Linked DNA regions of Macaca mulatta. The protein of the gene in region 2 interacts with the protein of the main gene of each other region in a pairwise test. Links are inferred from orthologs where the notes say so. Each region holds a gene or a part of one and is shown on either strand. Other genes may lie near its edges. The genes, in order: NUTM1, FAM161A, VPS52, ZBTB8A, CCDC136, CEP63 and CADPS.

Region 1 (3,500 bases), on a different chromosome or scaffold from region 2:
TCTTGGTGAGAGCAGTTAGTTTACTTGACCAACATCAATACCTAGTTCAGGGCAAAAGGAACCTGAGAACCCAGCCTCCTATGGGGTGGTCTGCTTGGAATATCAAATGCCACTCTCCAGAGGGAAAGCAGCAGAGCCTGGGCCATGCCTTCTCTAATCTGTGACTGGCTTCTGTACACCTCCCTTTGAGCCTTTGGCCCTCGGCTCCTGTCAAAATTGGGTAGCCTCACCTGGCTGCTGGCAAACCTCAGAGGCCAGGGGCCCTAGAGGATCAAGTTTCAAAGGGGCTGCAGGAGACAGGCCCAGAGAGCCATTCATCAGCTGTGAGTTCTGAATCTGCATCTCCTCAGCCTCAAACTCCATGAACCTGCAGAGGGTGAGAAAGGCATAGGCAATGCTAAGAAGGAGACCAGACCCGTCAGAAATCCAGACGACAGTCAAGCATGGCTAAGAAAGGAAGTGCTCTCAGGCGGGCAAAGTCTGCCTAAGTCATGTCACAGGTGGCTTAACCATATTTCCAGGGAAACCTCGGGAGCTCAGCACATAGTTCCTTCCCCTGTAGTCATCACTTAGGAAGCTTAAGAAAATGAATGGCCAGGTGGGGTGGCTCATGCCTATAAACCCAACACTTTGGGAGGCTGAGGTGGGCAGATTGCTTGAGCTCAAGAGTTTGAGACCAACCTGGGTAACACGGCAAAAACCCATCTCTACAAAAGATACAAAAAAATTAGCCAGGAGTGGTGACGTGCGTCTAGTCACAGCTATTGTGGGGCTGAGATGGGAGGATTGCTTGAGCTCAGGAGGTGAAGGCTGCAGTGAGCCCTGACAGTGCCAGTGCACTCCAGGATGGGCAACAGAGTGGGATCCTGCCTCAAAAAAATTTTTAAAAAGTAAAGTATGAGGACGGGTGCAATGGCTCATGCCTGTAATTCCAGCACTTTGGGAGGCCAAAGTGGGTGGATCATGAGGTCAGGAGTTCGAGACCAGCCTGGCCAACATAGTGAAACCCTGTCTCTACTAAAAATACACAAAATTAGCCTGATGTGGTGGTGGGCACCTGTAATCCCAACTACTCAGGAGGCCTAGGCAGGAGAATCACTTGAACCCAGGAGGCAGAGGTTGCAGTGAGCCGAGATTGCACCATTGTACTCCAGCCCTGGCAACAGTGTTAGACTTTGTCTCAAAAAAAAAAAAAAAAAATAAGAAGAAGAATGATCTAGAGCTTGTAAACTTCTCTTGGACAGAGCCAGGGCTTTCACTACTTTTTATTTATTTATTTATTTTGAGATGGAGTCTCACTCTGTTGCCCAGAATGGAGTGCAGTGGCGCAATCTTGGCTCACTGCAACCTCTGCCTCCCGGGTTCAAGTGATTCTCCTGCCTCAGTCTCCCGAGTAGCTGGGACTACAGGTGCATGCCACCATGCCTGTTTTTTGTTTTTTTTTTGGTTTTTTTTTTTTGTATTTTTAGTAGCTAAGGGGTTTCACTGTGTTAGCCAGGATGGTCTCGATCTCCTGACCTCATGATCCGCCTGCCTCGCCCTACCAAAGTGCTGGGATTACAGGTGTGAGCCAACGTGCCTGGCCTCACTTCTTTTCCATACCTATCTCACCCAGCTTCATGGATTGTACACAGCAGTGCTTAATATACGCTTGTTTAATTTAATCAGGCCTATGCAACAGCCTGGTGGGATCTCACAGTGGGATCCTCCTCGAGACCTCATTTGCCCCTGCCTACAACCATAAAGAATTCAAGGCAGTTCCTGCCAGGAGACAAGGCTGAGATCCCAGAGTCCTGAGACTGGGATGGGGGTTCTTGGAAAGGTAAGTCTAGGAAGCACGGGTCCAAAAGGTTTTGGGAGGGAGCAAGTGAAAGCTAAGCCTGGAAAAATGCGTTCATTTTTCTGAGTTTTTTCTTTCTTTCTCTCCTTTCCTTCCTTCCATCCTTCCTTCCTTCCTTCCTTCTCTCTCTCTCTCTCTCTCTTTCTTTCTTGACTGAGTTTCGCTCTTGTTGCCGAGGCTGGAGTGCAATGCACAATCTCGGCTCATCACAACCTCCACTTTCTGGGTTCAAGCGAGTCTCCTGCCTCAGCCTCCTGAGTAGCTAGGATTACAGGCATGCGCCACCACACCTGGCTAATTTTGTATTTTTAGTAGAGACGGGGTTTCTCCATGTTAGTCAGGCTGGTCTCGAACTCCCGACCTCAGGTCATCCACCCACCTCGGCCTCCCAAAGTGCTGGGATTACAGGCATGAGCTACCATGCCTGGCCTTTTTTTTTCTTTTTCTTTCTTTTTTTTTTTGAATCAAAGATATTACAGAGAAATAGAATAAGAGCCAGGAGACAACTTTGGGCATCCCGGACACTGGCTTTCCCTGGCTCTTCCAGAACCAGCCCCTCCCTGGGATAAAGGGGGAAAGGGATTTTCTGTGCCACTGTTTCCAATGGAGGAGCGGTCCTGAAGTTCTGTATCAATAGCCACTTGCTACCAAGTCAGTGGGAAGAAACAAGAACCTGCCTGGTAGAGCATACCTCTTCATTACTAGGTCCTTTCAGCATGAAATTGCTATACCCATTGGGGTCCAATCCCATCCTAAGATCTACAGTATCAAGGCTCCTATACAGATTCAGGATCTGGTGACGGGGGAGCTTTCAAGAGGAAATACGATAGAAAAACCCAAGAGTCAAGGTGGTGGAGGAAGAAGCAAGGATCCAGGAAACCACCATCCTAGTCTACACCCCCCTCCCCACCCTGTTTTTCTTTCCTTTCTTTCTCTCTCTCTCTTTTTTTTTTTTTTTTTTGAGATGAGGTCTTGCTATGTTGTCCAGGCTGGTCTTGAACTACTGGACCCAAACCATCCTCCCACCTTAGCCTCTCAAGTAGCTGGGACTACAAGCACACACCCAGCCTAACATCTTTTTTTTTTTTTTTGAAATGGAGTCTTGCTCTATCGTCCATGCTGGACTGCAGTGGCGTAATCTTGGCTCACAGCAACCTCCACCTCCCAGGTTCAAGCGATTCTCCTGCCTCAGCCTCCCGAGTAGCTGGGATTACAGGTACGTGCCACCATGCCCAGCTAATTTTTGTATTTTTTTTTTTCCAGTAGAGACGGGGTTTCACCATGTTGGCCAGGCTGTTCTCGAACTCCTGACCTCAGGTGATCCACCCGCCTCAGCCTCCAAAAGTGGTGGGATTACAGGCGCGCGCCACCGTGCCCCGCCCTAACATAGCTTTTGATAATTGCCCCCACCTGAGCCTCTCAGCTGCCCCTACTGCTCTCAGCCCACAGCCTCCCTCAGGAGAATGAAAGTTCATCGAACTCACCTTTCCGCCATCTCATAAAAGATCATCCGGTCAAAGTTGCTGGTGTGCTCCCACTCCTGCACGGCCAATGGCAGTCCCTCCTCCAGGGTCATAGTGGGCTTCCGCCGGGCCAGGGAACGAAGCACTGGGCTAAAACCCCCACTGAGTCAGTCACATTCTGAAAGTGTGCTCCCATC
Region 2 (4,114 bases):
ACTCTTCCTGCCTTTTTAATGCCTCTTCCCCAAGCCCTGTGCGCCTGGCTATCAGACCCACTGTGGCAGCTTACCCAGCTTTACTTTTAGATCCCTCATGTGTGGTGGTCTCAGAACAGTATCAGATTCTTAAGACTTGGATTCCTTCTGTTTTTTGTAGGATCCTGTCCTTTCCATACTAGATTATTGTATAAACTGATCCCTCCTAAGGTAATAACAGTTTCTAATACAAATTTGCAGTTGCCGGGCGCGGTGGCTCAAGCCTGTAATCCCAGCACTTTGGGAGGCCGAGACGGGCGGATCACGAGGTCAGGAGATCGAGACCATCCTGGCTAACACCGTGAAACCCCGTCTCTACTAAAAATACAAAAAACTAGCCGGGCGAGGCGGCGGGCGCCTGTAGTCCCAGCTACTCCGGAGGCTGAGGCAGGAGAATGGCGTAAACCCGGGAGGCGGAGCTTGCAGTGAGCTGAGATCCGGCCACTGCACTCCAGCCCGGGCTACAGAGCAAGACTCCGTCTCAAAAAAAAAAAAAAAAAAAAAAAAAAACAAATTTGTAGTTTAACAGGGCACTTTGGAAGCATATCTGCAACTTAGAAGTGACTGACTCCTTTCCCACAGCAAGCCAAAGTAGTTTAATCTTTGGGAAGGCACACAAATGACACTCCCACTGGCATCTCGTTTATATAGATTACTCTTTTATATAGATTGCTCTTTAGAGGAGACACACATTCTTTCATTTGGTTCTCATAGAGCTGAGATGGGAAAAAGAGACAATTATTATAGTTATTTTACAGATGAGGAAACCGAGATTTAAAGAAAGTGTGTCCTAACACCACCTAGGGAGTGGCAGGGAATGGATCCTAATATGTAACTCTTAAATAGTTTTTCTCCATCACGCTGCCTTGTTGCCTACTGAAAATTGTGTTGAGGGGTAGGTTATAATGAACAAAATCAGTCCTAGCACTCTGATCCTGGTTCACATTCAGGGTCTCAGTCTACCTTACTCTGGATAACTTCAAGTTGTTTACTGGAGAAAGATTGGTCACAAAAGGTGTTGCTAAAGATGCTTTCATTAACAATTTTATGGTAGATTAAAGAGATTAGAATTCCAAAATATCCAGGGATTTCAACTAGTCCTCAATCATAAGTTTTGTGTTTGAGAAGCTTTGGACACATGGTATTAAGAAACTTTTTCTGGCCGGGCGCGGTGGCTCAAGCCTGTAATCCCAGCACTTTGGGAGGCCGAGACGGGCGGATCACGAGGTCGGGAGATCGAGACCATCCTGGCTAACATGGTGAAACCCCGTCTCTACTAAAAAATACAAAAAACTAGCCGGGCGAGGTGGCGGGCGCCTGTAGTCCCAGCTACTCGGGAGGCTGAGGCAGGAGAATGGCGTAAACCCGGGAGGCGGAGCTTGCAGTGAGCTGAGATCCGGCCACTGCACTCCAGCCTGGGCGGCAGAGCGAGACTCCGTCTCAAAAAAAAAAAAAAAAGAAACTTTTTCTATCTGCAGATTGCTAGTTTAAATTCAAGATTCCTTTTTTTTTTTTTTTTTTTTTGAGACTGGGTCTGAGATCTCAGCTCACTGCAACCCTCGCCTCCCAAATTCAAGCGATTCTCCTGCCTCAGTCTTGCGAGTAACTGGGATTACAGGCGCGCATCACCATGCCCGGCTAAATTTTGTATTTTTAGTAAAAACGGGGTTTCACCATGTTGGTCAGGCTGGTCTCGAACTCCCGACCTCGTAATCTGCCTGCCTCGGCATCCCAAAGTGCTGGGATTACAGGCACGAGCCACCGCGCCCAGCCAAGATTCCCATCTTTTAAGTGAATAGAGCAGATGGCAGACCCTGCCCTCCACCTGCTAGACTGGTGTCCACAACAGATTTAACACTGAAAACTGATCAGTGAAAAGGCTGTCTCGCTGTACCCTAAAGAGCCGTTTAGGAAACACTGAAACCTCAGTGATTTGCTTATCTGTATCCGTGTCTGATTTAGCCAGTGAACACGTGATGGTTTTAAACACGCCTCTCTCCAGCATTATGTTGAGATCCACTTATAACCAAGTTCTTAAGGTAATAACGAAACACACCTGACAGAACAGTTTTCCTCAAATTATAAAATCTATCTATCTATCCATCCATTCCCGAGATGCTAGAGAGTAAAGAGTAAAATTCTATACTTTGCACTCGCCAGAAACAGAGTAACATAAATGTTGTCTAGGAAACTTTTACAACAGACTCTCTGGTGAAAATTAAAACACTTTTCAACGCCTCGATTTAGAGTATTTTTCGTGAGCGTAGAGAAGGGGCTGGGCCAGGACCACCAAGTAGGGAGTATGTGCACAGGGTCCCGCGTTTACCAGCCTGCCCTCAGCTGGGCGGGGACCCGGACAGCCCTCAGCCAGCACCCAGCCCGTGCGAGGTCCCAACCCACGTCCCGCCCCAGTATTACCGACGCCTCAGCGGACTGCGCCACTTTCTCCTCCTCTTCGTCCTCCAAGATCGCCTCTGCTGCCGCCAGGGCCTGTAAGGGGTCTTCGCGTTCGTACTGGGCGACCCGCGCTCTAGTGATGGGATTTACAGGAGTCTGGAGACTGGAGGCCACCAGCTTTGCCGCTCGGTGGGAGGCGGCCATCGCCCCGCCTCCGGGACCTGAGCGCCTGCGCTGGCCCGGGGCGGGAAAGCTGGTGCGGTCCCTGGCGACCCGGGGGCTCCTAGCTAGGGAGCCGGTTGCTATGGGCGCCGTAACTGGGGACACTACAGGAGCCGCCAGGGACCAAAAGTCACAAAAACTCCTCTCAGGCTGCCAGAGACCCGAGTCGGGTGCTTACTGGATCATGGCGGTCAGTACCGAGTCTGTTTGCTGGTTCCGAAGGTTGGCAGGCTGAACAGGGCACTTTTCCTCTCCTTTGCGTTTAACCGCCTGAACGCAGACTTCTCACATTATACAATGAAACAACTGCTTTTGTGAAGAAAAGAGCGCTTTTTTATTAACTGCAATAATATGTTAGAAGGAGACGGTTGATGGAGGAGACGGCGGCGGAGGAGGAAAGCAGGGCGTATTACTGGGTGGCGGCCTCTGAAGAGTGGCAAGGTTGGCGTCGCGCTACCTAACATGTCTCCCGCGGGAGCCAGCGTGGGAAGGAGGGAGGTGCATTCTACTCTGATTTACTTGAGGGCTAGTAGGAATCCACCAATCAGAAGGAGGCTCCCAGTTGTCCCTCTAGCGTTTTTCTTGGCCTGACCAATAAAAGCCCAGAGTTGGGTGGTGCCTGACCCTCCCACTAATGAGTGAGGGTGCAGGTAGTGTAAACCTGGCGTTTGCTTTGGGTTCATCAGCTTGAGAGTGACAGGATTGAACGGCGCGAGTGCCCAAGAGTCATCACAGACACACCCATCTCCCTCATCCGTATCTTCTCTTTCCACTCGGGATTTGGACGCATCAAATGGCGCCTTCCCTCTGCACCACGTGGTCGTAAGAGAAGCCAAACCTCAAAATAGCGGACGTGGTGCAGTCTCAGGCATCTGCTCCATAAGCCCCTGCTTACTGAGGCCGAGGCTGCCGCTCCCTATCTACTCCCTCCCTATCTACCCCTCTCTATCCTTTGCCCTCCTCCCGCTCCCCAGCCCTAGGACAGGCCCCCTCCGGTCAGTATTTTCCTCGTTATGCGTTGCACATCGTCGAGAATCCATCTCTAAGGTCTGAGCCCTTACCAAACCTTTGTTCTCCTGTATGGGTGTGAGCGCCAGCAAAGTCTCCCACGTCCCCACTTCCTTCAGGCTGCTCTTTGTTTTGGCTAAACAGTTCCTTCCAGTGCTGGAACAGATGCTGGCTGGGTTCTAAGCAGAAGCCAGAGCTAGAACCATGGGATATGGACCGCCAGGTATGGCCAAGTGTCCAGGGGAGCAATTTCCAGTCAGTCACGGCAGCCAGTTTTGTGGCTACAAAACTGCCTCAGCCTCCGGAGTGGCTGGGATTACAGGCGCCCTCCCGGGAGGCGGAGATTGCAGGTAGCCCGGATCTTGCCTCTGCATTCCAGCCTGGGCAATAAAGCAAGACTCCGTCTCAAAAACAACAACAAAAAAGTATTGATAAGGAATTAGAGCAC
Region 3 (3,500 bases), on a different chromosome or scaffold from region 2:
CTGTAATCCCAGCTACTTGGGACGCTGAGGCAGGAAAATTGCTTGAACCTAGGAGGCGGAGGTTGCGGTGAGCCAAGATCGCACCATCGCACTCCAGCCTGGGCAACAAGAGCTAAACTCCGTGTCAAAAAAAAAAAAAAAAAAGCTTCTGCACACACAGCGAAAGAAATAACAAAGTGAAGAGACAACGAATATTTGCAAACTACCCATCTGCCAAGGGATTCATAACCAGCATATATAAGGGGCTCAAACAACACTACATGACAAAGTCTAATAATCCTATTAAAAAATGGGCAAAAGATTTGAATAGACATTTTTCAAAAGAATACAAATGGCAAACAGGCATATATGAAAAGGGGCTCACCATCACTATCATCAAAGAAATGCAAATTAAAACTACAGTGAGATCTCATCTCACTCTAGTCAGAATGGCTTTTATCCGAAAGACAGGCAATAACAATGCTGGCAAGGATGTGGAGAAAAGGGAACCCTTATACACTGTTGGTGGGAATGTAAATTAGTACAAACACTTTGGAGAACAGTTTGAAGGTTGCTCAGAAAACTAAAAGTAGAGCTACCATACGATCCAGCAATCCCACTGCTGGATATATACCCAAAAGAAAGGACATCAATACATTGAAGAGGTATCTGCACTCCCATGTTTGTTGCAGTATTGTTCACAATAGCTAAGATTTGGAAGCAACCTAAGTGTCCATCAGCAGATGAATGGGTAAAGAAAACGTGGGACATGTACACAATGGAGCACTATTCAGCCATAAAGAATAATGAGACTCAGTCATTTGCAACAACATGCATAGAATTGGAGATCATTATATTAAGTGAAGTAAGCCAGGCACAGAAAGACAAATGTCATGTGTTCTCACTTATTTGTGGGATCTAAAAATCAAAACAATTGAACTCATGTACTCATGTACGAAGAGAGTAGGATGGCTACCAGAGGCTGGGAAGGCTAGTGGAAGGCTGGGGATGATTAATGGGTACAAACAAAAATAGGAAGAATGAATAAGACCTACTATTTGACAGCACAACAGGGTGACTATAGTCAATTATAACTTAATTGTACATTTTAAAATAACTTAGAGTGTAACTGGATTGTTTATAACACAAAGGATAAGTGCTTGAGGGGATGGATAAAGAAAAAAATAAAATTCATTCTAAAAATAGAAAATTAGCTAGGCGTGGTGGCTCATGCCTGTGGTCCCAGCTACCCAGGGGCTAAGGTGGGAGGATCGCTTAAGCCCAGGCTGTCGAGGCTGCAGTAAGCCATGTTCATGCCACTGCACTCCAGCCTGGGTGACACAGCGAGACTCTGCCTCAAAAAAGGAAAAAAAAAAAAAAAAAGCAAAACCAAAGACAAAATAAAATAAAGTAGACCAATAATGACAGTATGTTGTGGATCAAGAGTTACAGTAATTCCATGTACCTGAGGTCCATTATGCCACTCCCTACACACACACACACACACACAAACACACAGGAGCTGAAAACAGCACACAAAGCTGTCCCTTCCCTTTTCCCCACACCCCTACCTGTGTCCGAGCATTGAGCAGCTGCTGGAAGCTCTCAACCTCTTTGCTGTCATCTGCAGCCCGCTCCTAAGGGAAGACAAAGGGAAATGTCAAGTTTGGGGAAAGCAGTCCTTCACTTCAGGATGTCCCCTTCATTCCACACTTATTGTACTAAGCTGGACACTGTGCCAGACTCCAAGAGTAAAACGCTGAACAAGACAGGCATCGTCTCTGCCCTCACAGAGCTAACAAAGCAGTGGGGGAAACCAAATTTTCTGGGTAGGAAGACAAGGAGAAGGAGCACCTATTACCATCAGCACACCCAGCATCATGTCATAGTTGTTGATCAGAAACACAAGCTGCTCCTTCCTTGAGGAGAACTCGGCTGCCACTCGAAGGACAAAATTCTCCACCTCCACCTGAAAAGGCAGAGAGGAAGAGGTGACACCAGAAAGCAAGGCCATCAGGCCCTCCTCTGGCTCCCCCTCGGCCTCCACCCACTGGCACAGCCCTGCTGCTGGTAAGTCTCTCCTGTCTGACCCTTACCTGCAGCTGTCCCAGCAACTGCATGGTCCGTTCATTGGGAATTGTCTGGTTGATGCTGACAAGAGCGGAGGAGAACTCTGCGTAGCGGCGTGTGATCTAGGACAGGGTGGGAAGGAAAATCACACCCACCTCCTGGCCCAACCACCACCACCTCCCAACTCCCTTGGTCAACCCGCCACCATGTGATGTGACTCTACCTCCAGTCCCTCCTACCCACAGTGCACCACTCACCATGAGTTTTATCACCCTCCCAGAATGCCTGCTCATAGCGTGGCCCATGACACAACTGTGACCGTGGCCAACCCCACAATGATGCTTAGAGCCCTGCCTTTCAAGAACCCTTTGTTACCCTTGCCCTCCCTCACATAGTGGGGCCGAGTATCCAACCCCCCTAGGCGCTGGGGGTCAGTGCTTCGGACGCTCTGGACATTCATCTCCAGGATCAGCTCAAACCGTGGCCATAGCAAGGCAAGCACCTGTTCCCAGTACCTGTGGGCTTAATCAGAATATGAGGTCAGCCGGCAAGGAATGTTGGAGAGGGATGGGGGGGAGTGGGGCACCATTCAGTTTAATGGTCAACAGTTAGTTGTGGGGATGGGGGGGCAGTGGTTGGAGAAAGGTGAGTCAAAAAGCAGCAGTACTGCCTCTGGAGCAAATCAATGGGAATAAAGGTTAATGATACCAGGTCAGTAGAAGTCTAAGGTCAGGGCAGAGTCATGCAAGACCAAGAGTTTGTGGCCTGTTGGGCATCAAGGACCAGAATTCAGTGACCTGTCCAGAGCAGGAACATCCCTCTTTGCTGCAATGTTACGGAACCGGAGAACAATGTGGATACAAAGAAAAACAGCAATGGCATCGTAGCAGTCAGCGAGATAGGACTCCAGGTGTTTCTATGTGATTGGGGAACAAGCAGAGGATTAAAAGAGAATGTCAGTTTGTTTTCCTCAGTGACTATGAACAAACGCATGTGTTTCTTTGGGGATGATGCACTGGATAGGACAGAAGGGAGAGATGTAAAATGCAACTGCCCCCTGCTTTCCTGTCCACTGCCACCCGGGTGGTCCTACTGCCTTACCCACCAGGATCTATGTTTTTGGCTTTTTTTGTTGTTGTTTTTTTGAGATGGAGTTTCGCTCTTGTCGCCCTTGTCGCCTAAGCTGGAATGCAGTGGCGCAATCGCAGCTCACTGCAACCTCCGCCTGCCTCCCAGGTTCAAGCGATTCTCCTGCCTTAGACTCCTGAGTAGCTGGAATTACAGGCGCCTGCCACCACGCCTGACTAATTTTTGTATTTTTAGTAAAGATGGGGTTTCACCATGTTGGCCAAGCTGGTCTCGAACTCCTGACCTCAGGTGATCCGCCCACCTCAGCCTCCTAAAGTGCTGGGATTACAGGTGTGAGCCACTGCGCCCGGCGTTTTTGACTT
Region 4 (3,500 bases), on a different chromosome or scaffold from region 2:
TCAAACATTTTAGTCTTCTTCCATAATCCTTAAACGTTCAGGATATCAGAGTAATGACAGATTGTTTCAGATCTCAAATTAATACAAAGACTAATTTGTCTAGTCAGGTGGGTTGCCAGATCTTTAAATGTGCTCTTAACTGGTTTCCTGTGAAATTAAACATTGGTTGTATATGTGTTTTTGAAACACCTTGAAATTGTCTTACATAAAGTTTGGATGTGGTGAATTTATTTAAAGTATTTTCTTTGAAAAAAGTTTGCTAAGTAGATCTTCCAATATTAAAAGAAAAAGGGTATCTCTGTAATAAAGAGGATTGTAATGAAAGTAAGAGGATAATTGTTCATCCATCATGCCAACTCAAGCTAGTTCTTTCTTTCCAGTGCAGCAACACATTTTAGGGCAACAAAGTTCAGAATAGATACAATGGCCTGTTCAGAAAGCATGCAAGTTATATCAGATCATTTCTTTAAAGTCAGTATGATAAATTTGTTAACTAGACTCTGACCACAGAAAGAGAGAGATACAGGAAGTCAATGTAAATTGCAGACATGCCAGCTCTGTTGGTTCACATTACAGCTACCTAATGTTGGGCTTAATTTCTTTTTCTTCTTCTTCTTCACTATCATCAACCTGTTGGATGACCAGATCAGCAGACCCATCTTCTACAATCTCCACATAGGATCTATTCTCATCTTCACTCAAGTGCCATCTGGAATCCTTATCTCCATCTGATGGGGACATAAGATGTTGTTCAGCTTCCAAGTCAATGGGGAGGCTGTCTATGCCAAATTCTGCAAGACACTCATTACACAGTCTGTAGCGCCTGGTTCCCTCCTGTACCACTTGCCCTGTTAGATCTGTCACATGACGTTTACATTTTCTGCAGATGAGTTTACATGCCTGGTGAATCTGTGTAGAGATTTAAATAGTGATAAAAGTGATTTTTCAAAAGCAGGACAGTTTGATATTTTAGGTACCAGTTCATAAACTTAAGATGTTCAAAGCCATGCATTAAACTCAAATTAACATCTATTATTAGAAAAAGATCAAGGGTTTTAGTGGCAAATTGATGTCACAGAAAAACATCAGCTTTCTCTAAATAGTGGCTATCATGTTTTTTATTATTAATATTACATAATAATTTCACTTATCCCTTAATCCAATAGCATTTGGGTATCTGAGGTAACAACAGGATACTTCCTATGATAATAATAATTGCAAACACTTACATGCACCATGCACTTATTTATTTTTATTATTTATTTATTTATTTATTTTTGAGACAGCATCTTACTCTGTCGCCCAGGCTGGAGTGCAATAGCGCAATGTCAGCTTGCTACAACTTCCGCCTCCCGGGCTCAAGCAATTCTCTTACTTCTGCCTCCTGAGTAGCTGGTATTACAGGCACACGCCACCATGCCCAGCTAATTTTTGTATTTTTAGTAGAGATAGGTCATGTTGGTCAGGCTGGTCTTGAACTCCTGACCTTGTCATCCATCTGCCTCGGATGCCCACAGTGCTGGGATTACAGGCGTGAGCCACTGTGTCCAGCATACTTTTTATTTTTAAGATAGGGTCTCCCTCTGTCACCCAGGCTAGGGTGTTGTGGTGACCATAGCTCACTGCAGCCTCAACCTCCCAGGCTCAAGCAATCCTCCCATCCCAACCTACCAAGGAGCTGGGATTACAGATGCATGCCACCACACCTGGCTAATTAAAAGAAATTGGCCGGGCGCTGTGGCTCAAGCCTGTAATCCCAGCACTTTGGGAGGCCGAGACGGGCGGATCACGAGGTCAGGAGATCGAGACCATCTTGGCTAACATGGTGAAACCCAGTCTCTACTAAAAAATACAAAAACCTAGCCGGGCGAGGTGGCAGGCGTCTATAGTCCCAGCTACTCGTGAGGCTGAGGCAGGAGAATGGCGTGAACCCGGGAGGTGGAGCCTGCAGTGAGCTGAGATCCGGCCACTGCACTCCAGTCTGGGTGACAAAGCGAGACTCTGTCTCAACAAAAAAAAAAAAAAAAAAAAAAAAAAAAAATTTTTTAGAGAAAGGGTCTTGCTATGTTGTCCAGTCTGAACATATCTTAATTTGAGGTGGTGGTGGGGGTGGAATCTCTCTTGTTTTGTGTATTAATTTTTTGTTATTTTACTAGAGAAAGATAAATATTGTAAAAATTTAAATGTATCAATATTTTAGATAGAAGGAGTACTTGCCATTTTTATTAATAAAAGATCTGCTGGAGAGAGGACCACACAGGGATTGGAAGGCTTGGGGTTCTAGTCATTTACTATCTTCGTCACTTACTAACCATGTATCTTGGAGCAAGTAATTTAAAACATTATATAAACTTGCTTTAGGGTGACAGTTAAAATATTTAACTGGTAAGATATGGGCACCACCCAGACAGATGAGAAACCTGACTAATTCTACTGGACACTCGTCATAAACAACTACTATGGTGCTGGTTCTACGTATCAGCGTAGTATTATCTTTGCTTGCTTCCTGTGGCTAATGGGAATACCACTCACAGGGCTAACATGAGGACCAAATGAGTTAACGTGTAAAATGCCTTGGTAAACAGCTGTAGTTGAGGAATAATTAGGTATTATAATTAGTAATAAACAACTTTGTTCAACAGCTGTCAGAACAGTAGATTATGGGTTCTAATCTAAAAATTATAAAAATTAATTGTATAGGCCGGGCACGGTGGCTCACGCCTGTAATCGCAGCACTTTGGGAGGCCGAGGCGGGCGGGTCGCTTGAGGTCAAGAGATCGAGACCATCCTGGCTAACACGGTGAAACCCCGTCTCTACTAAAAATCAAAAAAAAAAAAAAAAATTAGCCAGGCCTGGTGGCGGGTGCCTGTAGTACCAGCTACTCAGGAGGCTGAGGCAGGAGAATGGCGTGAACCCGGGAGGTGGAACTTGCAGTGAGCTAAGATTGCACCACTGTGCTCCAGCCTGGGCAACAGAGCAAGACTCCATCTCAAAAATAAATAAATAAATAAATAAATAAATAAAGTCAGGACAGTGTAGAAGTAGGCCACCAAACACAGTAAAAATACCCAAGAAGCTGGACACGGTGGTCCACACCTGTAATTCCAGCACTTTGGGAGGCCAAGGTGGTTGGATCACTTCAGGTCAGGAGTTTGAGACCAGCCTGGCTAACATGGTAAAACTCCATTTTTACCAAAAAAAAAATACAAAAATTAGCTGGGCATGGTGGCACACGTCTGTAATCCCAGCTATGCAGGAGGCTGAGGAAGGAGAATCACTTGAGCCTGGGAGGCGGAGGTTGCAGTAAGCTGAGATCGCGCCACTACACTCCAGCTTAGATGACAGAGTGAGACTCCATCTCAAAAAAAAAAAATCCAAGAAAGCTAATATAGCCTGGTAAAATATGTAGGAAAGCGTATGTAACTACCACTAGTACAGTTATTATCCTGTGCATAACTGTTGACATATTAATCAGTAAACACTGAAAGTACACGATTTG
Region 5 (3,500 bases), on a different chromosome or scaffold from region 2:
AAGGTGGCAGTGTTGGCTCTCTGTCAGTCAACAAGCACCGGGGACTGAGCCTCACGGAGACAGAGCTGGAGGAGCTGCGGGCTCAGGTGCTGCAGCTGGTGGCAGAACTGGAGGAGACCCGGGAACTGGCAGGGCAGCATGAGGACGACTCCCTGGAGCTACAGGGTAAGTGGCTGGGCCAGGGCCCAGTGCCCGGGCCCAGAGGCTCTGCACTCCCCTGGATCCGAGCTTGACACTGGTGCCCCTCTCCCTGCAGGGCTCCTGGAGGATGAACGGCTAGCCAGCGCCCAGCAGGCAGAGGTGTTCACCAAGCAAATTCAGCAGCTCCAAGGTAGTTCCCAGGGCTTGGACCGGAGGGAGGTGGCCATCCAAGTGGTCACCTAAGTACTTTTTTCCTGAGGGTTTGACTGAAGCATAGCAGATAAAAATAACCAAATTCAGTAATTTCACCTCATTTTCCTCTACTAGTCTCACGCTTTTCCGCTCCTTGTCTCTCCATCCTCCTCTGTCCCCAGTTTTCTTTCTTTAAACCTCCACCTGGCTCTTCTGTCCTCTCCTTCCATTTCTTGACCTCCTTGTCACCTCCTGTCTCTGGTGGGCTCTTTCCTCTTGCCCCTTCAGCCTCCTCCTTCATACTGCATCCCTGTCCCTTTGTTCTCCTGGTCAGTGCCAGGGGTGGGTGATCCAAGTTGAATTCCAAGCCAGATTCCTTTTTTGGTTCCTCCAAGGACAGCATGGGAAAGCATGAAGCCAATGAGACGTGACTGGCGGGGCCTCTCTGCACCTGTTAAGGGAGGCAGATGAGAGCACTTCTCTTGCTGCCTGGGACCTGAGCTTGTGGCCCCTAAATCCCTTTTTGCCAACACCCACGTCCCTTTGTCTCTGGAAAGCAGCAAGGCAGGTGTCCCACATTCCACCGCACCACCAAATAAAGAGGCAGCTTTTGTTACTTTTGTGGGCTTCCGGAAGGTTTAGGGGAGCTGCCCTAGAAAACGGCAGGGACTCTGGGGAGAACTGAGATCAAGCCAAAAGAAAAGTATAAATGGAGAAAAAAAAGGAAGGCCGGGAAGCAGGCCTGGACAGTAGCAAGCAGAGGTGTGAGAGGGGGAGGAAAGGAGACGGGGACAGAAAATGTAAGCAAAGGTAGATACAGGAAGGGTGGTCAATGAAGGGGCTTGCAGAGGAGGAAAGTGGCAGGAAACGTGTCACACAGGGAAGAGTGTGGGCACTGGTCTGGGATGACCTAGATTCCTGGGCCCAGCTCTACCACTTACAAATTGTGTGATCTTGGGCAAGTCACTTATCTTTCTGAGATGTCATTTCTTATCTGTAAAATGGGACTAATTTATTTATCACCTACTTATGAGGTGCCTTTATACTTGGAGGACCAGCTATAAATGAGACAGACCACATCCCTGCCCTAATGAAGAGTACATTCTAATGGAGAGAGGCAGAAAATAAACAACACAAGTTCAGGTGGCAATAAATGCTATGAACACGACATAATAATATGATATAGAGAGGAGATGGGATGGGAGTTTATTTTATTTTATTTTGAGACATAGTCTCACTCTGTTGCCCAGGCTGGAGTACAATGGCACAATCTCGGCTCACTTCAACCTCCGCCTCCCGGGTTCAAGCGATTCTCGTGCCTCAGCCTCCCGAGTAGCTGAGATTACAGGCATGTGCCACCACACCTGGCTAATTATTGTATTTTCAGTAGAGATGGAGTTTCACCATGTTGGCCAGGCTGGTCTTGAAGGGAGTTTATTTTAGATATGGCAGTTAGGAAAGTCATCTTTGAGAAGTTGACATTTGAGCTAAGACCTGAATAATGAAAAGGATCCAGCCATCCAAGATCTGAGGGAGGAGCGTACCAGGCAGAAGCAACAGCAACTGCAGAGGCCCAGAGGTGAGAATGAGCTTCATTTGTTTGAGCGATAGAATAGAGGCCACTGTGTTTGCAGCAAAGTGCATGTGGAGGACCCTGGTAAGAGAATGTTCTGAGGCAGGCAGAGGCCAGATTACAATGGATCTTATAGGCCAGCCAAGAGGCTTGGCTTTCATGTAAGTGTGGTGGAAAGCCAGGAGAGGGTCTTAGCCAGGACTGGGATGATACGATCTGCTTTACATTTTTAAAAGAGAACTTGGCCACTAAGTGGAAACACTTAGGATGGAGGGAAGGGACTCAGAACAGTGAGTCCTGTCAGCAAGTTACTGCAATAGTCCAGTCAAGAGATGATGGTTGCTTGAGTTAGGGCTGTAGAAATGGAGATGATTCAGAATATATTTTGAAGGTGAAGCCCTCGGGATATGCTAATGAATTGGATCAGGGGACAACAGAGACATCAAAGATGACTTTGCCTTGAGAAAATTGATGGAAGGTGGTGATGTTTATTGAATTGGGAAAGACTTGGCAAGGGGTAAGTTTTGGGGGTAGGGGAGCCATTTAAGACATGTTTTCTACTGTTGAGTTTGAAGTAACTGTGGACATCCAAGTGAATATATTGAGGCAGTTGGATATATAAAGGCGGAACCAGGGAGAAAACAGGGCCGGAGATGTAAATTTGGAGTCATTAGCATATAATTGGCATTCGAATCCATGGGAAGTAATGGTGCAGTCACATGGAGAGACACCAGAAGAGGAGAAAGGGTCCAGTCCCAGAGACACTCCAGTATTTAGAGGTCCAATATAGGAAGACAAATGAACAAAAGAGTAAAGTGAGAGGAACTCCTGGAGCATGTCATGCCCTGGAAGCCAGAGCAGAAAGTGCTTCAAGGAGACAATGATCCACTGTGTCAGGTTGCTAAGTCAAGTGAGATGGTCTTGGATTTGGCAAGAGGGAGGACCCAGAGACATCTCAGTGCATGGAGGCACCGATTGGATTAGGTTTAGAGAGGACATGGGAGATGAAATGGAAAAGGTGAGTACCGGTAACTCCAGTAGTCATTTTGAAGAGAAGCAGAGAAGTAAGGGAAATAGGGTCGAAAGATTACTTCTTTTCTTTTTTCAAAGGTAGGAAATGCTAGATCATGTATAATGAAAGAAAAGATCCAGTACAAAAAAAGGCCTTTGCCTGGAGAAGGGACATTCCTCCATTCGAACTGGCGAAAAGTCAGGATTGAAGCACAGATGTAGCAGGAACTACCTGGGAAAATAGGGTTCTACAGCGCTTCCCTCCTCCGTAGGATGTTTCGTTTCTTTTGAGATGGAGTCTTGCTCTGTCACCCAGGCTGGGGTGCAGTGGTGAGATCTTGGCTCACTGCAACTTCCGCCTCCTGGGTTCAGGAGGCCTGGCTAATTTTTCGTATTTTTAGTAGAAATGGGGTTTCACCATCTTGGCCAGGCTGGTCTTGAACTTCTGACCTCGTGATCCGCCCCGCCTCGGCTTCCCAAAGTACTGGGATTACAGGCGTGAGCCACCACGCCCAGTCCTCAGTAGAGTGCTTTCTAGGGTGAGATCCCTCACGGCCCTGCGGGAGAGACCGAGGCTGCCCTC
Region 6 (4,138 bases), on a different chromosome or scaffold from region 2:
CAGGCTTGTCTCGAAACTCCTGACCCCGTGATCTGCCCGCCTCGGCTTCCCAAAGTGCTGGGATTACAGGCATGAGCCACCGCGCCCAGCCTAGGAACTGAATTTTTAATTTTATTTCACTTTAATTACCCACAGCTGGCTGGTGGCTACAATACTGGACAGTGCAATTCTACATCTAACTACTGGTTTAGAGCAGTGGTCCCCAGCCTTTTTGGCACCAGGGACCTGTTTCACGGAAGAAAATTTTTCAACACGGACAGGGTGGAAATAAAAAATTTTGTAAATATCTTTTTGTTAACATTCATATGAAATGTTTTGGGGGAGGAATGGCCAAACCACTTTTTATTTATTTATTTATTTTCTTTTTTTTGAGATCCAGTCTCACACTGTAGCCTGGTCTGGAGAGCAACGGTGTGATCTCAGCTCACTGCAACCTTCGCCTCCCGGATTCACGTGATTCTCCTGCCTCAGCCTCCCGAGTAGCTGGAATTACAGGCGCACACCACCACACCCGGCTAACTTTTTTGCATTTTTAGTAGAGACGGTGTTTCACTATGTTGGCCAGACTGGTCTCGAACTCCTGACCTCGTGATCCGCCCACGTCAGCCTCCCAAAGTGCTGGGATTACAGGCGTGAGCCACCGCACCCGGCCAACCACTTCTTCAGTAATATGAATAATACACATGGCAAGGGTTAGGGGCATGGTTTCATGATGAAACTGTTCCACCTCAGATCATGAGTCATTAGTCAGATTCTCATAAGCATGCAACCTAGATCCCTTGCATGCGCAGTTCACATTAGGGTTCATGCTCCTAGGAGAATCTAACCCCACAGCTGATCTGACAGGAGGCAGAGCTCAGTTGGTAGGTAATGCTCACTCGCCTGTCACTCACCTCCTGCTCTGTAACCTGGTTCCTAACAGGCCACGGACTGGTAGTGCTCTGCAGCCCCGGGTTTGGGGGCCCCTGGTTTAGAAGCCATAAAGGCAACAGAGATACCTGTTAAAGGATACTGTGCAATGTAATCTGCTAAATTTAGAACTGTAAGGAAAAATAGGGGCTAATCCCATAGCTATAGCTATGAGGGAACTGCTATAGATTAAAAGATGTCAAATATGCATCACCCAAACACAACAGGCAGATCCCTGTGGGATTTTGGTTCAAACAAGCTAACTGCAAAAAAGACATTTAAGAGAGAGTTGAAGAAATCGTAATCTGACTGGACATTGACATTAGAGAATTTTTATTAATTTGTGTATGTGTAATGACAGTAGTGTGGCTTTGCAAAACTGAAAAACCTAGCTCCTGACGGGGGCGGGCAGGGGACTAAAATAACATAAAGATCGGAAATTCAGTTCCTGAAACCTTGTGTCAATGTTGGCTTTAGCTGAATTCCAAATCAAGTTGACATTTTTTGAAAGCAGGAAGCAATGACAGAGTGGACTACTGATGCTGTCACCATCTGCCAGCACAACGTAAATTAGAACAGAAAGGACTAAGCAAAGGCATTCCACCTTTTAAAGAGAGAAAATGGCATCAGTACAATCAACATATACAATTTTTACAAACAACTTTTAGAGTTGCATCTACATACATTTTAAAAGGCAGTGTGCCTGTTTATAAATCTCTACCCCATTTTAGTTTCAGAGCCTTTTTTACTACCCTGATCACTGATCATGCCACAGTCAAAAGGCAATCTCAAAAATTAATCTAAAAATAGTACTGCATTCCAAATAAGAAAATATATATACTTTGTTTTACTATTAAGCTACAGCTAACAGAAATCTAATCAACGATCCTTATGATTTTCTCTTACCTAAAAAATAAACGCAAGCACGTGAGGAACTGTATAAATACAGAGCATCTACCCTACAATACTGCTTTATAAAAGAATAAATTCTTTTAATAAGTTTAACCGGACATAAAGCTCAGGGAAAACTACTTTGTGCATATTAGTGTACGGTGCTTAAACTATACAAGATGACTAGTCTCTGACATCATACACATCTTTACTCTCCTGATGTCGTATACGACATAAAAAAAACCACATTATAAGCCTAAATGTACTGTCTTCAAGTATCTCCATGATTAAAGTGTTCCTAAGAAACCGTCCTTGTTTCTTTCTATCCCTGATCTGTGTGCATGGAGCAGTTAGTTCAGGGTTCTCCAATTTCAGTCCACGATTTCTGCCATATTTCCGTACCTGCTGTACTAAACATAACCGTTTACACCAACTCACTATTTTAAAAGCTGCCAACCTTAACATGCCACCCTAAATGAGCGGGTCCCCTTGTGCCGTGAATGAAGTAGTCCTAACAGCGCTAGCTAAACAGCAGCCCTGGCCGGGAGGCCGCACAGGGGTCCCTCCGCTGAAAAGAAAGGTGGGTCCGCCGGGAAAGGTGAGTACTGGGCGCAGCTCGCCCGCCCACCTGGCTACTCTCCGAAGCGCCCCCAGCCACCCGGCCTCCGAGGAAACGCTGTGACCACCTGGCGGGGCCGAACCGCGCGCCGGGCTGCGCCATGCCGGACTACGCCGGTGTGCAGGGCATAGCGGGCCAGGCCGAGGGACGGGGCTCCGGGGCGGACGCGAGCCGGCGGGGAGGCGCCTGGTGGTTCGCAGACTGTTGCGCGAACCGGCCGCAAGCCATGAGGCCGCGAAGCCAGAGTCACCAAGGCAGCCTGGGCCGCCTCCGGACCAGGACGCGCTCGCCCCTTGCGCTTCCGTCTTGCGCACGGGCGGTTACACGGCTGCAGCAAGCGCATCCCTCAGCCTTCCCGCCGTTACCTCGGGCGTGCACTGCGCACGCGCGCCACCACTAAGCTTACGTCCAGCCTCAGCAGTCGGAGCGTTCGTTCCGCCCACTGCCCCCACACTTTTAATAATTGAATCAATGTCTTCTCCAGACTTCCCCTGCACGCGAGCAAATGGACTCACCCACATCCGGGAATCCGAGAAAGAGCGTGCAGACACGTGATGCGGGGCGTGGCAGGAGGAAGCGTCTGCCGCGCTGGGCCGCGTAACGGTAAGGGTTTGCAGCGCCCCCGGCCTAGGTTTTGGAGGCGCGGGAATGCGTTCGTGGCTCAGTGTCGGACTTCCCCCTATTTCCATCGGCCGAGGCTGTCACTTTACGCTCATAACCGTTTTCTTTACTGCACGCTGTGTCGGGAGGAAAGGGACTTGCTTGGCACCCCAGACCTCCCCGTCTCCGCTTCCACGTTTGGTACATCCTGCGTCAGGCCGGAAGCCGCGGCTGAGGGGCGGCCTCTCGTACAGTGTGGTGGCCTGCGAGGCTCATTTCTAGCAAGGAACAATATTTTCCCGCTTTGACCTTACAGATACATGTTTACAAAGCTATAATGTATAGAAATGGATAAGACATGTCCCTGTCCCGGGAAACGCAGGCACTGCGTGTCTGGAAAGACATACATCTGGGCTGTTTGACAGGCTACCTAGTTGGTGCCATGCTCTGTGCTTAGGGAACTATGAGATCCCCGGTGGGTACTGGGACCGCGCTCAGCCTGAGGTTTGGAGGCGGCCTCCTACAGGAAGCGACTTGAGACCTGAGATTTTTAGACTGACTATGGGTTCGCTGGAATAAAAAGGAAGAAACAAACAGCATTGCAGGCATCGGGACTGTCACGTGTAAGAAAAGTTTGTTCAGGAAACAGTGGTCGTATTGTGTGACGAGTATTTGGGACGGTGGCTGTGCCTTGGGCATTGATTAGATTATCTTGTTGCTTTCCATCCTTCCAGCCCCTTAAGAGTGAAGGCACCTTCACGCCTAACCCCGGAAATGGGATGTTGACCTCCAAGAGCTGACGCCTGCGTTGATCTTGAAAGGAAGAGTGGCATTAGTGATGTGGAAAGGGGGGTTTTAACTGTCAAGGCTGGAAAATGTGACAGGGTTTGAGGTGTTTGGAGAAGGGACAGGTGAAAAAGATTGAGGCCAAATTGTAGAAAGATCTACTAAGGAATCCTGGGTACAAAATGTACACATAACAGTTGGAGACAATAATACCTGAGCAATTGATCACAAAGCTTGTTTAGTAGATTTAAGTTAGGACAAGAAGCAAGAGTTCAAGGATAGAAGGCCTACTGAAGCTCGAGTGATCTGAGAAAACCTTACTAAAAGGTGGAA
Region 7 (3,987 bases), on a different chromosome or scaffold from region 2:
AAAAATAGAACCAGCATGCCCCTCAAAACCACAGCTTTGCGTGGATTCAGGTAAAACATACAATCAGATCAGAAAAATCTGGCCTCATAATGATCTCTAAGGTGGCTGAAGGTTCTGTTTAGAAGAATGTGTCTCTGTGGGATTTCTTTCTCCATGCTAGCTCTGGACTTAAGCATCTATTTAAAGGACAGCGCTCTAGAGACTTTGATAAATGTGTCTAGACACCCCCACCCCCCACCCCTTTCAACCTAACACTTAAAGTCACAGTTTTCATTGTCAAAGGAATGGGATATTTTTGGCTGGTGCTGTTATTACTGGGATAGATTTTGGAAGCTGAAGTTCCCATGCTATAAAGACACAATTACAACAGGAATTCCAAACTGAAATGTGAAACATTAGGCCCCGTGAACTCAACATCCAACCTTAAAATAATGTCCCAAAAACTTTTACTGCTCTGAGGATACTTTTGCTCTACTGCAGTCCAAAATACGAACTGAAAAAACAAGGGGCCACAGATAGAGATGGAGAGCCGTGTGTGTAACCCACCTCCTGTCTCTCACCCTGGAAATGAGTTTTATCTTTTAATGAAACGATATCCAAGCTCATGATGGCTGAAATAAATTATCAGTGCTGGGTGGTGTGTGTACACATGTAAGCAAAACAAACAGAAATCTGTGCTAACTCAAGGTAAGGGTGGAGAAATGTGGAAAACCTAATGCTACTACAGCAACATGTTATTTGGTCATAAATGGCAGCAACCGAAAAATTCACTATTTTAAGACACTAGTCTCACAATCTTAATGGGATTACGACTGGCCTCTCACACTGCCTCTCTGACTGGCTTTTCTGATAGCTCAAGTGCTGCAAATTTATTTAAGAGAGAGAATAGAACGCTGACTTTCTTCACTAACTCACTTCAACGGGGTGCCTGACTGCTTCTCTTCTGCCGCCACCCTCCGCCACTGCCCCTCATTTTTCAGTACCCCTCATCCCTTCCTCCAGCTAAAGAACAGCTGATAGAAGTAGGCGCCTTAAAAAAAAAAAAAAAAAAAAAAAATCAAAGGCAGCCCAGAGCTGCTTCAGCCTTGCCCCAACCTCAGACAGAAAAAGCTTTTGATGCCTCTGATTGCGAGGCTTTTTGCAGCTGTACTTTATCAAGGCAGCAGTGGCAGGGTTTGGAGGACCCAGGCGAGCCAGAAGGTGGCGGCGAAGTCACCTTGAGAAGAGGAGAAGAGGGTCAAAGAGAGGAAGGCGGAGGGGCTGACCCGGACGGAAGGACCAGAAGGCGTGCCCCTGCACTGGGGTCAGTGAGGAAGGGTCAGGGGGACTGGAGAGAACTCCAGCCATAAGGAAGCAGTGCCCCAGGACCCTTTGGCGACGCTAGTCGGTGATCGGCTGACCCGGGCAGGGAGAGGAGAGTGCCCTTCGCAGAGTCACGGGAAGCTTCGCCTTCCGGGCTTGCTTTCTCCCGCCTGCCCCTGCGCTTGCTCTCCGCCCCAGCGAGCGGAGCGCTGCTCCAAGACGCTCTTCTCCCTCCACCTCGGCGCCCCCGCCTGCCGTTTCCCCCGCCCGCCGATCGCACGCCCAGGAGGGCGGGCCCGGAGTTGAGCGCAGCCGCCCGCCGCTGGAGAGCGCTGGGAGCCCTGCAAGCGAGCAAGGCCTCTCTGGGCGCCGCGGGCTGCAAGTCACTCCCCCAGCCTTTCGGGCCACAAAGCGGGACCTGCCTGCCTCGCTCTCCCCAACGCTCCCGGGCTGGGGAGCTCGGGCACGCGGCGCTGCGCTCCGCGGCCCTAGCCGGTCCCAGGCAGCTCCAGGAGCGCTCCAGGCTGGGTTGGGCCGGGCCTCGGCGAGCCCGGCCGCTGGGAAGGGGCCTCGTAGCCCTTTCCCCAGGGCGCGGTCTCCACCTTTCCTGCTCCTCCTCGCCAGCTGCGCCTCCAGCTCCCATTGTTCGCCCCGCCCGCCTGGCGACGTCCGGGTGCTGCTCCCTGGGCCTCCCAGGCGCACCTACCTTCTGCTGCCGGCGAGCCATGTCGGTGGGCTGCTTGGCATTAAAGGGGTAGGCGATGCAGCGCATCACGAACACATACAGCTGCAGCCTCTTCTTCCTCTCCTCCTCCTCTTTCTGCAGCCGCTCCAACTCTTCCTTCTCCTTCTCGCTCACCACCGACGGGCTGGGGCTGGAGGGCCGGCCGCCGCCAGCGCGGCTGCTGGGTTGCAGCCCCCCGGCCCCGCCGCCGCTGCTCGCGCCGCTGCCCCCGCCGCCGCCTGCGCCCACCCCGGCTCCGGCGCCGGCGCCGGCGCCCCCTAGCCCGGCGCTGGCGGCGGAGCCCTCGCTGGTACGGCTGGGAGACAGGCGCGCGCCGGACGCGGCCGAGCCGAGCACCTCCTTGCCGCTTTCCTCCTCCACGATCTCATCCGATTCTTCTTCGCTGGACGAAGGGTCCAGCATAGTGGCGCCTGGGGAGCGGGGTCTCTGGAGCCCCCGGTTTGGAGTGCAAAAGGTGGGGGGCGCTGGAGGCAGCCGGGGATCAGATCTCCCGGGTGGGCGCTTCTCCCCAGGTCAGGGAGCGAGAGGGCTGCTGCTCAGCCTCGGCCGCCGCGACTGATCCTCTGCCCGGCGGTCGCGAGCTGGGCTCAGACCCAGGAGCGCAAAGGGAGGAGGGGAAGGGAGAGGTGCGTCCGTGGACTCGAGGTGGGCAAGTGGGAGAATCAATTGCAAGCCCTGAGCCCGCAGCCGGATGCCATCTGCGGCCGCTGAAGGAGGCGCCTCCAGAAAAGATGCCGAGTGTTGCAAGCTGTCGATGCAGCCAAGAGCCGAAGAGGCATCTTGCCGATTGGGGAGGGAGCGGCGCTTACGTGTTTATTGGCTTAACTCTCCCGTGTCCGCGGCGTAAAGGGCTGGTGCAGAGGGCTGGAGCGGGGAGAGCGCGGAACGTCCTCAGAGCCTCAGTACTTCTGACCCCAATACCTTGCCACCCTCCTCCCCTGCCCGCTTCGTGGATATTTTTTTTCTTGATCTCTGGCTCTCATTGCCTCAACCCCATTTCCCCTCCCGCGGACAAAAAGTTCTTGGGGGAGGGAGAAATCCGGAAACCAGCCGAGCGGGCTGTTTGGAGACGCTAAATCGAGAGGTCTTACTTAGGAGGAGGAAGTCCGTGAGATCTTATGCGGGAAAGAAAGGGTCCATCTCCTTTCCCCAGGCTTCTTTACACCTGGGGCGTGGGGGGAGGGGGGCTGGGCAGCGTATTTGTCCCACCTGTGAAAACTCTGATTCCAGCGACTTATTCCGCATGCGCCCAGTCTAAACTATAAGTTAATCAAATTTTGAATGGATTGGTGTTTCGACCGGGCAACTCAACCATTTGTGTAGCGCCCCCGCCCTTGCCTACTCCCCACCCCCAAAATCTAGGATGAATCTTCTTCAGTTCCTAAGACCTGGGAATGCTTTCTGCTGAGGTGAGCCTACTAGAGAAATAGAAGGGTTTCTGGTTGCTTAACCCTCTCTCCATTCTGACTCGGTGGAGGCTTGGGGACCCTGCGATCAGACAAAGACACCCTAAGAACTCAGCGGCGTCAACATCTAATGCGTCGACTGTCGCACTCTCTTCACCCCTGCCTCTTGGGTAAACTATTAATACAAAGCAGCAGATGGTGCCTGCCTTCCCCCTGCTCCTTTCACTTAGGCCAATAAACCCAGTAAACGAGGGAGCTGGCCAGCGTGCTGAATGTAACCTGCGACCCGCAGATGGATGAAAACAAACCACCAGCCACCTTCAGAACTTAGGCTATCTAGAGACCTCCCCACTTCATCGCCTATATTTATGTATTTTCTAGTTCCCTGATTATCTGTGGACACTCGTGGGAGTGACTTTAATAGTGTAGAATGAGTTTAAAGTTTAAATCACGTTTGTCTTTACGTATTTTATAATTTACCATGAGTTTCACAGTAAGCTTTGAGAGTAAACTGACCTGTTTGAGACCTGCAGA

The links.
Region 1: the proteins of FAM161A (region 2) and NUTM1 interact in binary tests that used the Homo sapiens proteins (3 or more experiments, as listed by UniProt). The two-hybrid records come from large-scale screens. The link is inferred for Macaca mulatta from reciprocal best matches to the Homo sapiens genes FAM161A and NUTM1.
Region 3: the proteins of FAM161A (region 2) and VPS52 interact in binary tests that used the Homo sapiens proteins (3 or more experiments, as listed by UniProt). The link is inferred for Macaca mulatta from reciprocal best matches to the Homo sapiens genes FAM161A and VPS52.
Region 4: the proteins of FAM161A (region 2) and ZBTB8A interact in binary tests that used the Homo sapiens proteins (3 or more experiments, as listed by UniProt). The two-hybrid records come from large-scale screens. The link is inferred for Macaca mulatta from reciprocal best matches to the Homo sapiens genes FAM161A and ZBTB8A.
Region 5: the proteins of FAM161A (region 2) and CCDC136 interact in binary tests that used the Homo sapiens proteins (3 or more experiments, as listed by UniProt). The two-hybrid records come from large-scale screens. The link is inferred for Macaca mulatta from reciprocal best matches to the Homo sapiens genes FAM161A and CCDC136.
Region 6: the proteins of FAM161A (region 2) and CEP63 interact in binary tests that used the Homo sapiens proteins (3 or more experiments, as listed by UniProt). The two-hybrid records come from large-scale screens. The link is inferred for Macaca mulatta from reciprocal best matches to the Homo sapiens genes FAM161A and CEP63.
Region 7: the proteins of FAM161A (region 2) and CADPS interact in a two-hybrid assay, tested with the Homo sapiens proteins (2 studies listed by BioGRID). The two-hybrid records come from large-scale screens. The link is inferred for Macaca mulatta from reciprocal best matches to the Homo sapiens genes FAM161A and CADPS.

What each region holds. Positions count from the first base shown.
Region 1 is NC_133412.1:11,547,552-11,551,051, reverse strand, and holds part of NUTM1 (NUT family member 1), read right to left. Parts: intron 3,454-3,500; coding exon 3,325-3,453; intron 368-3,324; coding exon 231-367; intron 1-230. UniProt on the Homo sapiens protein: Plays a role in the regulation of proliferation. Regulates TERT expression by modulating SP1 binding to TERT promoter binding sites.
Region 2 is NC_133418.1:62,881,968-62,886,081, reverse strand, and holds the start of FAM161A (protein FAM161A), read right to left. Parts: upstream 2,801-4,114; 5' UTR 2,641-2,800; coding exon 2,458-2,640; intron 1-2,457. UniProt on the Homo sapiens protein: Involved in ciliogenesis.
Region 3 is NC_133409.1:149,024,222-149,027,721, reverse strand, and holds part of VPS52 (vacuolar protein sorting-associated protein 52 homolog), read right to left. Parts: intron 2,966-3,500; coding exon 2,847-2,965; intron 2,565-2,846; coding exon 2,441-2,564; intron 2,172-2,440; coding exon 2,076-2,171; intron 1,949-2,075; coding exon 1,841-1,948; intron 1,617-1,840; coding exon 1,551-1,616; intron 1-1,550. UniProt on the Homo sapiens protein: Acts as a component of the GARP complex that is involved in retrograde transport from early and late endosomes to the trans-Golgi network (TGN).
Region 4 is NC_133406.1:208,271,620-208,275,119, forward strand, and holds part of ZBTB8A (zinc finger and BTB domain-containing protein 8A), read right to left. Parts: intron 910-3,500; coding exon 577-909; 3' UTR 1-576. UniProt on the Homo sapiens protein: May be involved in transcriptional regulation.
Region 5 is NC_133408.1:168,429,235-168,432,734, forward strand, and holds part of CCDC136 (coiled-coil domain-containing protein 136), read left to right. Parts: coding exon 1-165; intron 166-256; coding exon 257-331; intron 332-3,500. UniProt on the Homo sapiens protein: May play a role in acrosome formation in spermatogenesis and in fertilization.
Region 6 is NC_133407.1:37,528,379-37,532,516, reverse strand, and holds the start of CEP63 (centrosomal protein of 63 kDa), read right to left. Parts: upstream 2,801-4,138; 5' UTR 2,763-2,800; coding exon 2,487-2,762; coding exon of another isoform or gene 2,429-2,486; intron 1-2,428. UniProt on the Homo sapiens protein: Required for normal spindle assembly.
Region 7 is NC_133407.1:126,458,317-126,462,303, forward strand, and holds the start of CADPS (calcium-dependent secretion activator 1), read right to left. Parts: upstream 2,801-3,987; 5' UTR 2,450-2,800; coding exon 2,009-2,449; intron 1-2,008.